Linked DNA regions of Arabidopsis thaliana. The protein of the gene in region 2 interacts with the protein of the main gene of each other region in a pairwise test. Each region holds a gene or a part of one and is shown on either strand. Other genes may lie near its edges.

Region 1 (3,841 bases), on a different chromosome or scaffold from region 2:
GCTTCTCTCTATTCCATATTTCTTTATTATTATACGAAATTTAATATTATATCTTTTGGATTGGGAAGAACCATAAAGAAAGGAAGTAAAAGATAAAAAAAATTGCAACTTGCATTTTCTTTATATCAAGCGGGAAAAAAAAAGAAGAAGAGAACAGCTTGGCTTGTTGGGTTATCATTCAAAGCATCGTCCACTTGCAAATTTTTATTTCTTTAAATTCATCAACATGTTCGTTTTTTATTTTTTATATTTTGACGGCCATGTTCATATTTTTGTATACATGTATGTTTTGTCCATTTTACGCAATTACCTTTAAGCCTGAAAATCCCCAACTACTCCCTATTTTCTACCAAATAGTTTATGATGACAAATAAAAACTTCAAATCTTGAATTCTCTATCAAATGTTTGATTTTTAAATAACAACTTCACGCTCAATCGGTTATTTTAATTATTATGAAATAATAAGAAAGTAAAAAGTTTGAGGACCTAGTTAAATCATAGAGGAAAGGAACACATTATATTATGCCCAAATTTAAAGTTGCCTTTAAGAAAAATCGTCGAATTTCACAAAAGCTGTTTATACGTACGTAAATTTATCTACACACATTAGATGGCCAACAACTCAATGTAACGAGTTAATATACATCCGAGTCGAACATCATATTGTACCATTTCATTTACGCTTTTTCTGATGAAACTATAGAAAAACAAGATTAATTAAACTTGAAAATCACACTTTTAATTAGCGGACAACACAACCACATTCTTTCAGTTTGAATATTATTATCTTTGGGTGGTGAAAGCCGGAATAGGGCTATCCAAATCGGTTCTTTATGGGATATGTAAAATACAAAAATTAAAAGAAGGATTATGATATGCATGAGAGATTAATTCACTAATGTAACTTTTTTTTCACACATAAGCCGAAAAAACATAGATCACACGACGGCTAAAAATCTAGAAAACGACGTCGGATCTAACGAAACTACCCGACAACGACAAAGACTCATCACAGAGACATCTTCTTCTTGCTCTCAGCCGCAGTATTCTCGGCTATTTTCGCAAGAGATTGAAGATTGCATCGTACGATAACGTCAACGAAGTCACAAGTCTCTTCCTTTGTGTTGCCTGGAGGAACATCAACGACGTAAGACTCGACAACGACGGTCCCGGAGATCGGAGAAGGGTGAAGGGTCGTTACGGATCGGTAGTTAGAGAGCCGGTGGTCACCACCAACAACGCTGAAGCTGATGACGTGGCGTTCGTCGTCGAGGATATCGAGTCTCTCGGTGGAGCTAGCGGCGGGGAGACCAGAGACGACGTGGACTTGACGGAGGCTACCAACGTTATCGCCGTCTCCGCCGATGACGCTACAGCTTTTGAGAAAGTGTTTGTAAGCTTGTGGGTTATCAAAGCGGCGTACGACGGACCAAACGGTGGAGATTGGAGCGGAGATCTCTTGAATAACGGCGGAGCAACACTGATTAGGACCAACCTCGTGTGTGTGAAAACGAGCGGCCGTGGAGTCGCGTGAGAGAGAAGGAAAACGTTTTTGAAACGACGCGATCATCATCGGAATCTGAACGGAATCTCCGTCTGATACGGCGGAAGAAGGACGGTGAACGGCAAGCATGTTGATCTGAGTAATGGTGTCTTCTTGATTTCAAATCTTGATCTCTTCTTTGAGATGGTATTAGGGCTTAGAAAAAAAACTGAGGATTGAAGAGGAAAGTGTATGGAGGAGAAGTATGTGTGTATATAAAAAGAAGCAAATCAAACTTTACAGCGACTTGCGAAAAGTTGGGCTGTGCCTTTCGATTTGAGAGAGATAGAGTTTTTAATGCAGAGTTCATGTGAGTGGTGATAACGAAAAAACCGAGCAAGTTGCTTGTTGTGAAATTACGGTTTTGCCCCTTGCTATAGTTGTTGACTTGACTGTTTTCTATACACGATATTTTTAATTGGGCAAGTGACCAATATATAATTCTCGTATATCAACACTAGAATTATAATATGGGTTTAGACTTTTAGTTTCTTGACCATAACTTTTTTCTCTTCTTCTTGAAATGACCAAGGTATATCTAGGACGAGATTCGTTTGATTGAATACGCTTTAAGAGTTTCGATATTTGGAACGATTGGAATGTAAGATCAAATTCATCAAAACATACAAAGTGAGAATTCTTTCAACTTAGAAGTTCTTCAATTGTTATTTCATAGTATGGCTAGATATATGAGTTTTCAATTGCATATATCTAGCCATACTATATATATGAGTTTTCAATTGCAAAAAAAAAAAAGGTTTTCAATTGCATCAGATGCAAATCTAGATATTTGAAGTATTCAACATCAGAGCCGAATACCACAAAACTAAAAGTGGTACAACCATATATTTAATTACCTGAGAGATTTGATGAACAAGCAGAAGGAGGAACTTTTTGAATGAAAAGTATTGTATTGCTTTTGCTTTGATATGATCTTCAATATACAAAAAAAGGAGCACACAAACAAAAGGGCATGAAAAACCAATCCTCACTAAGAAACACATTTTAAACTATACAAACTAAGGCCCAAATTGTTTTTAGAACCAAACTTTTAATTGGGCCGTATTTTGGAAAGAAAAACTGGTCTATCACAACATACTTTTGTTGTTTGGTTTGGTTACGTTGGCTATAGTATCTAGCTTCGTTATAGGTTGTCTCTTCTTCTACATTGTAACTAGTATTATAGATTTCTATTATTCTCTAGGATATTAGAGTTTACCTAAAGATGTGGAGTTGGCTGATCAGACACAACAAAACGTTCGAAGATATATTTTTGTTGCCGTCGAGGAATTCAATTTCGAGGTTGGGGAAGAATGTGTCGTCTGCCTTGAAGAATATAGCGAGTCTAGACATCCATTGGCCAAGTTGGAATGCCGTCACCGGTTCCATTTTAGCTGCATAATAATATAAACACAAAACATTTACTTGATGCTCTGTTTTCAAGCATTCTGTCTTGTTTCTTTACATTCATAACTCTGGGTTTTCAAACCTTTAACAACTCCGGACATGGACACAAACCCCATCTTAATGATAAGTCATAATACAATGCTATTAGTTCTTTATAATTGCTGTAAATTTTGAATATAAATTTTTTTGATAAGAATAGATTAATATTGTGTATTGAGCTTCACACACATCTTAATATATAAAGCAAAATTAATTCAGTTTTTGTTAACTTAAAATTATCATAAAAATCAAAAACTCGCACAAAGGACGGGTTCTAATATAGTTGATATATATGTTTTACATCTTTTCTTGCTAACATTCTACTAATATCTATATATCTACATAAAAGTACTAGAGAGAATTACCTGCAAGTGAGATTTGAGATATACACAGATGAGTGTATAATATGGTCAGCGGGTCAGGATATGTAACTTTTGTTTGATTATGGGTTTGAAAATGTGCAAATAGACAGACATTACTTCAACTAATTGAGAATAATGTTGGATCCGTATTTGTAGGAATAAAAAATAACTGTTAATTAGAGGTTGACTTCACAGTTCACAAGTCGGGTTCGGGTGTACAAGAATCTTGTCAGGTCACACCTAACTCTTATGATCGTCTCTTAGTTTTTTTTTTCTTTTTTTTTCACAGGCTTAATGGACCCTTTTGTCTAATTTGATGGCATATCTCACAAACCATCCAGTTCCATGTTTTTATAAACATGCTTTTTAAACCTTTAAAATGAAGGACACAAATTAGGATTCTCGGTGCAAAATTGCATGTGGACGTGTAGAAGCAGAAGGAAGATGGAAATTAAGTGTAAAGAAGAAAGGAGTGGTGACGAGAAGCTT
Region 2 (3,813 bases):
TTAACATTTAGTTAGACTCGGTCAAGCTAATTAAATCTGTACATAAACATTGTAGATGAAATTTGTTATGGAATAATGAAAACGTTGATCATTTCACCAATTCTTCATCAAGCTTTATTCCTCTGTTTTCCATCTATCTTTCTAAGAATCTGATGGACTCATGATCGGCAAATACAAGTTATGTTTTATGGTTTTGGTTTTATGAATTTAGCTTAACATGATATTACTAAATCTTGTTGAGATTAGGATTTACGATTTGGTGTTTATCTTCTTTTAAGGTTTTCTGATATATGTAACCATAAGCAGAAAAATAATAATTAATAGCTAAACAGACATTTGTGTCAATTGTTCCTAAGCTCATAATTGGAACTATCAGAATCCCTAATAGTTCACAAAGAAGAGGCGAAAGATCATTGAGTCTACACAATTCACGCTAATAAGACAGGATATTTATGTAGATATCCAAATGTTTACACTTACTCCTCATGGAATTGCAAACTTTTTGGAATCAAACAAGAGAAAAAAAAAACGAAATGAGTTTATTACACAAGCCAGTTTGAGATTCTTTCATTGACCAGTTTTAAACTGCACCATAGTTCTAGTTTCTAACCATATGCACAAGGGACTAATAAAGATCGGATCGATATGATTTGACCTAAATACCCCTTGAACCCGGGACATCGATCCACTCGAGCTGTAGCTCAACCTCTCCACACTCCACGTGCTGGAGTCTAAGGAACATATTCTGGACAATCTTGCCTTGGTTCAACACAATGTGGCTTGATTCAGACAAACAATTTTTTCTGCTCGGCTCTATCTTCTTTATTATGGTCCCATTAGGAAGTCCTGGTCCGAGCTGATGGGCAAATTTAATAGCTTCAATAAATGGACCAATGTGGAACTCGGCTTCTCCCATCTTGTCATCCGCGGAGAGCAAGTCATAGTCATAAACCGTCTGCATCATAATTCCCACCGCTTATCATTCTGGTTCAGCTATCATGCTACAATATAATGTAAGGATTACTTACAAGTTTAATCGGGAGATTCGGATCAGTCACGGAAAGTGTCAAGTCGTCGTTCCACTCGGGGTTTACACTATGTTTCACCACGCGTGTTTTCAACTTCTGTATCACAATCACAAACAAAAGATTCAAGAACTAGCAAATGCTTTTGATTGATCTTAAGGTAAGTCAAAAGGCGACAACACAAGTTACAAATATTTCGTGGTGGAACCAGAAGAGATTGATGTTGACATCAAAAAATCAATGGCTTTTCACCAATATTCCAATGTTCATAAAGATCTCATGTGCAAAGGACCCACTAATATGAAACGAAGCAAAAGTCTACTTCTTCATTTACATGTATGCAAATTATAAACTATATAACTCAAACTCTATTCAGAGAAGGTATTAACTGGTTATTAATTTGGATTAGGTTAAGACAACTCATAACTAGTACTATTCAGACATATACCAAATCAAAAGTCAGAGACTTCACATTTAGCTTGTAAAGATTAGGTATAACTAAATATGTGATGTCAACCCTCAAAAACTGCCTCCAATCCATTATTGATAACCAAATTTTTAATCAAATTTCTAGTTAGTTTTGAGATCTACAAAAAGAATCAATAATCCACTGTCAAATTATAAAAGACCTCATTGAGTTTCACTACATAGACTCATCAATAATCTTATCTCTTTTATAATAAAAGTTTTACTACCGACCAACAGTTCAATAAACGCATCAGATTCTACTAGATGCATAACCAGATTTATTCTAAGATGCAAAACAGAATTGGCTAAAATGGAAGAGAATAAATTTTTGGTACCTGTTTACCGCAGTGAACGACGATGTAAGGATCACTGCTTGAGATGTCTCTAATGGCGAGATTCACACCTCTTTTCACATGAATTCGAAGAAGACCTACAAGATTCTCCATTGTTTGTTTTTCTTTTTGTTTTTTTCTCTCGTAGAAAGTTTGTTGGAGTGGGTGTGATGATGAGAGACTTGGAGAATTCGGACAGCTCTGATGAGGTTTTGTGACTTTTGTCTATTTTCTTATATAGATACGGAACTGATTTTATCTTCTTTATTTTTCCGAGGATGGATATATTGTAGACTTTTCTGCCTCGAGCCACCTCTGTCTCTTTTTTACTTTAATTGTTTACCATTTCTAAAAAGACATGTAAAACAAAATAGATTATTGGAAAACAAGAAATTAAGTGAACAATACAAAAATAATAATAGAGGAACACAAAAAATACAAAACAAACGTTGAGAAACCGAAGAGATTCTAACTAATTTTAATAATTTTTCTAAATCATATGCTTCATCCTTTTTATTAAATTGTGGAGGTTGAAGATGTTGTACTATATTTTTCTAAAGTTACAAATTCTTACAATCATTTGTTTCTTTTTCTTTTAATTTAAAATATTGTATTGTCCAAATTTGTCTTACTCGTTTTTAGAGAGTGTTATGTTAATTCATTAGCTGGTTAATTTTTTTTTTAATAAGAATTCTGACCTACTTTGCCTCTTAAAAATTTATGATTTTTTATATGATATGTTTTTGTTTTGTTGTTTGGTGTTTTTTCCTCTTATTTATTATAATTGAGTTGAGAAAAAAAAAACTAGTACTTTTAGTTTTGGATTAGATGGCAATAGGTCGTGTAAAGGTTTTTAGGGAATTTAAATGTTAGTTTGAATTAGAAAACCAAATGTTAAAACTGTATTATCCGGGGGAGGTGACGGATTAGTCAATTTCTATGGGTATTTTACCGACTATTTAAATAATTTTTGTCGTATTCAATTGACCAATACACTCAATTATTCGTCTCGATGATGCAGCTAATTAGAAAGTTAGTATTTAATTACGCAATTAATTTTTAATTACGGGCACATGTCACGCCAAATTTGGATTTGACCAGCAAATTAGAGTTTGAAGACTTTAATTCTTTTTTCCTTAACTATAAACAAAGGTCTGGTACGTATTTGATTTCCATCACCATAACTATAAACAAAGGAGTATGATTTTGTTGCGCGAAAATTTATTTTTTCTAGCCTTCCAAAATTTTCATGCAACTAACCAAAAGTGGCAGTGTAAATTGGTAATAAATCAGTATAATTAGAAACAATCATTGACTAAAAAACTATACACAATATTACAATATATTATGGACCAAAAGTTATTGTATTTTATAAGATTTCCAAAATTTCATGCAACTAATAAAATTAGGATTAATTATAGAAAAACCATAATAAAGTATGGTCTATTATGAATTTAGCCATATTCTCGAGTGATTATAAAGACGGATATTTTTGTTTTTTCTAAAATATTAATTTGCCTTTATTATTTTTTCTTCTTTAAAATTTTAATTGGGTCTTGAGATATAATTTTGACGAAAATGACTTAAGATTTGCTCATGATTCACAATCATATACTTTTCAGTTATTGCATACATGATTGTTCTGAGTTCTTTAGACATTATCTTTTACGGTTAAGATGATTCGATCCGCATCTATAATTAGAGAATTTGGGTTCTATAACATCATCTCTTAGAGCTTAGATATCTTACATCAAAACTTGTTTAATTAGTTCTATTGGATTCATCGAAAAAGGTTGGTCGTATAAACGTTGTGTGAATCATCGAAGCATAAGGAAACGATATTGATGGAGTCGAAAATAATGATTTTGATGGAATGTAGAGTCGGTGTTAATAAACAAATTTGATTATCACGACGGAGAGAATTGCAGTCGATGGAGACGGTGAGGGTTGTTGGTCTCATGACGGAAAAAACGAATTGGATTATCATC
Region 3 (3,623 bases), 4.0 Mb from region 2:
TTTTATGTAACAAAAGTATTTCAGTGTTGTCTCATGATGGATCATCCAATCTTTTTGATCAAAAAAAAAAAAGATGGATCATCCAATTCTGGAGTCTCTAATAATCGGGAAAAAGAAATCGAGTACAGTTTATTTTTGTTGGTCAGGCACTTAGCCACTCAGGCTCATCAGACAAAGCGATGACCATAACATAATTATAATTAGGTGTATTGACAAAAAAAAAAAGAAAAAAAAAGGAGGATCATAATTAGATGTAAAAAATGGTGAGCTCTCTCCAAATTTTAAAATGAAAAATAAAAGAGTTCAAATTATAATGGGCTTTTTCGTCGTTCAAAGCCCTTTCCCCTTCAACAGTAATTAGTTTTTGAACGTAATAATGTTACTGGAGCGCGAAAACTTAAGCAAAATTAGCACAAAAATACAAAAATTAAATTTTACAACGAAATTGTAAATAAAAAAATAAAAAAAATTATTGAACAAAAAAAAAACTAATGCAACGGTTTTTTTTTTTAGGTTTTTTTTTTTGTCATTAACGCTAGAAAACAAATAATTTTGCGAATTTACGAATTGCCAAAATTGACTTATAAATACTGCCAATTTTCAGACATTAAGCTTTTATTCGTTTTATTATGAAAAGTTACTACACACAACACTATATTAAAACATACGCTATAAATAAATATGTATCGAAGAACAAAAAAAATATCATTATTTTTCCATCTGACCTAGAAATCTATTCCATGCATATATCATTTCAAATACAAAAATTGAATAAAACAAGAATACTAATAACCTACAAAATAGTACAATCTACACAACAGTTAAAGAAAACTAACTACTATAATTAGTATGTTATCATTCCTGTATAATTTATCTTGTCAACCAATTGAATAAACGAACTACTATAATTAGTATGTTATCATTCCTAATTCTATGATATAACAAGTATGTTATTAAATTTAACCTATCTCGACCATTCCAATTATCCAGGAGACTGATTTTTTTTAAAAAATAAAACATAACCATAAAATCAAACAAGGAAATTACAATTCAAGAGAAGAAAAAAAACGTTTTACAAATCAAAATAAAAATTAAAACTCCCCCAATTTAGAAACATTTTTCTTTCCCCCAAATTTCATCATTACCTAACCTGAGAAGAGTTGTTGTTGTTGTTGTTCCGGTTCATAGCTTCAGTGATCGAAGCAAGTTTCTGAAGATTCAATCTAATAACCGTATCAGCAAACAATCTCGTATCTTCCTCCGAATTACCTTCCGGTACATCAACAACATAAGATTCCAAAACAACGGTCCAGATCCTTTCTTCTTCTTCTTCTTTCTCAAATCTATGAACCGTCGTAACCGATTTATAATTCCTCAGCCTATGTTCACCACCGGTTATACTAAACCCAGTCACTCTCCGATCATCGTCCAACAGATCTAATCTCTCTCGAGACGTATTCGCCGGTAATCCACTTATCACGTTCACGTCGCGCGTGCATCCCACTCGCATCTCGAAATCTTCACTCACGTTACAGCTTTTGATGAAGTGTTTGTAAATCTGTGGCCTATCGAAACGTCTCACCACGGACCATACTGTTTCCGGCGGCGCGTGGATTCGCTGAGCTAGGAGAGATGAGCAACGGCCGTTACCGAGTTGGTACGTGTGGAACTCGGCGATTGATTGGGAGAGTTGGGTGAATTCGTCTTGAGTTAAATCGGAAGGCATGGTTTGGTGATGGAGTGTTGAGATTCTCTGGCTGTTCTCTTCTTCGTTTACTGGTGAGGAGGAGGACTCTGAATTCGCCATTGATATTGTTTGTTGAAACTTGAAAGAGAGAAGTTGAAAATTTGAAGGAAGAAGAAAGAGAAGAAGGGTATATTTGGAATTTAATAGACTTGAGTTTTTTTTAATGGCTATCACATAAATGTCATTAGGCACTGAATCTTTCTACTTTTAGTTGATAATTACTATATTTGTAGACACGTACATCAAAATTAGTAACTATTACAAATTTACGTAATATTTTTGTAGATTCTAAAATAATACTACAAAAAAAATATATATCCGTTCATTATAATAGATGGAATTATTTTGCTGAATTCGAAAAATCTGATTTAATTTAATGAACAATAACACACAGTTTAGTTAGACTTATCATATTATTCATCCATCTATATTCTGATTGAAATGTATAAACTATATAGTTAAAATTATATATATATGATACTAATTAAAAATATCTTGAACGAGTTAAACTATATAGTTAAAATTAGAATAACTCATTTTATCATATTCTTCATGAATTCCTACTATTTTATATTAATCATCACTTTGGTAAATATATTACAAATGAAATTGGTCAACTCGTAATAGAAATGCAATTAAATTATAAAATAAAAAATTATTTACGGGAGTTGAATTATTTTTTTGTTGGCAACCGTAGAAATTTTGATTAGATGCTCAAATATAGAATCATTATTTATTCGAATGCATTTAAAGGTTAGCCATTAGCCTTTGTTCGTGAAGCTATTATAAGCCTATACCTATATTACTTATCTTAATCTATAACTCCCAATTTCTCTCGAAACTAAATAATTGTAAAGATTAAAACAATTTTCAGTTACATAAAAAAAATATACTTGTAAAGATTAAAACATTTTACTTGTACTAGAGAATTTTTATCAAGTGATAATTAAATGTGAGCAACTGAGCATGAAGCCTCCGTGTCATATACTTACTAGTTTTGGCCATGTTTATTTATCTGCAACCGAAATGGGCAAATTACTTTTTTCTCTTATCACCTTGACTTTTGTTTTTTCTATTAAAATTATTTTTAATATTATGGCTGTGAATGGTGACTGCGTTTTGCGGTACGCAAAAAGTGCGGTGCGGTTCAAATAGTAATGAAAATCAGCACTGTTGCGATACGGTTTTAAGTGCGGTTTTGGTCACCATTCACAGCCTATAAATCATTATACTTTTGTCCAAAAAAAAATATAAAAAATCATTACAGTAAATAGTTTATTTTTTGTTACAAAGATATAATTGGGTACGTAAGAAGTAGAATCCAAGAGATACGGTAGGTACAAGTTATAAATCATAAAAAGTAGTCTCCAGCTGTTTTTTTTGGCGTCTTGTAGACATTTAATTTTTATGTCAAGTATATACTTGCACATTGCACTTGTATATCAAATTTGATGATTATAACAATGATTTAGTTAAATATCCAGAGTGTAAAATTATATTGCTAAACACTATACCTAAACGATTTTTCTATAAAATTTTATCATTACGCTAAATTAATTTTTTCAAAATTTTAAATGAAAAGGACAATAGTGCTCTCAAACTGGTATGATTAAATTTTCCTAAAGTTAAAGTTAGAAAATAATTAATATATTTATGAATAGATAGATTGCTATATATATTCTTTAGCATTATAGAGATAATAAAAGTATCAAAAAGTCCATTTGGTGGAATAATATTGATTCTGATCATTGCGAATTTTTTTATTCTAAAAGGCTTGAAAGAATTTTCAAATATAATATTTTCAAGAATCCACTCACCATGTTATAATGGAATGTACATTGATTAAAAAAAAAAAGAGTAGTGGAATATACAGTGA

Evidence for each region.
Region 1: the proteins of AT5G37740 (region 2) and PYL4 interact in a two-hybrid assay, tested with the Arabidopsis thaliana proteins (one study listed by BioGRID).
Region 3: the proteins of AT5G37740 (region 2) and PYL1 interact in a two-hybrid assay, tested with the Arabidopsis thaliana proteins (one study listed by BioGRID).

Annotation. Positions count from the first base shown.
Region 1 is NC_003071.7:16,048,044-16,051,884, reverse strand, and holds PYL4 (PYR1-like 4), read right to left. Parts: upstream 1,968-3,841; 5' UTR 1,635-1,967; coding exon 1,011-1,634; 3' UTR 529-1,010; downstream 1-528. UniProt on the Arabidopsis thaliana protein: Receptor for abscisic acid (ABA) required for ABA-mediated responses such as stomatal closure and germination inhibition. Inhibits the activity of group-A protein phosphatases type 2C (PP2Cs) when activated by ABA. Can be activated by both (-)-ABA and (+)-ABA.
Region 2 is NC_003076.8:14,990,274-14,994,086, reverse strand, and holds AT5G37740 (Calcium-dependent lipid-binding (CaLB domain) family protein), read right to left. Parts: upstream 2,039-3,813; 5' UTR 1,940-2,038; coding exon 1,829-1,939; intron 1,751-1,828; coding exon 1,721-1,750; intron 1,125-1,720; coding exon 1,029-1,124; intron 956-1,028; coding exon 656-955; 3' UTR 525-655; downstream 1-524. UniProt on the Arabidopsis thaliana protein: Stimulates the GTPase/ATPase activities of Obg-like ATPases. Mediates the transient calcium-dependent interaction of PYR/PYL/RCAR abscisic acid (ABA) receptors with the plasma membrane and thus regulates ABA sensitivity.
Region 3 is NC_003076.8:18,982,922-18,986,544, forward strand, and holds PYL1 (PYR1-like 1), read right to left. Parts: upstream 1,997-3,623; 5' UTR 1,808-1,996; coding exon 1,142-1,807; 3' UTR 619-1,141; downstream 1-618. UniProt on the Arabidopsis thaliana protein: Receptor for abscisic acid (ABA) required for ABA-mediated responses such as stomatal closure and germination inhibition. Inhibits the activity of group-A protein phosphatases type 2C (PP2Cs) when activated by ABA. Can be activated by both (-)-ABA and (+)-ABA.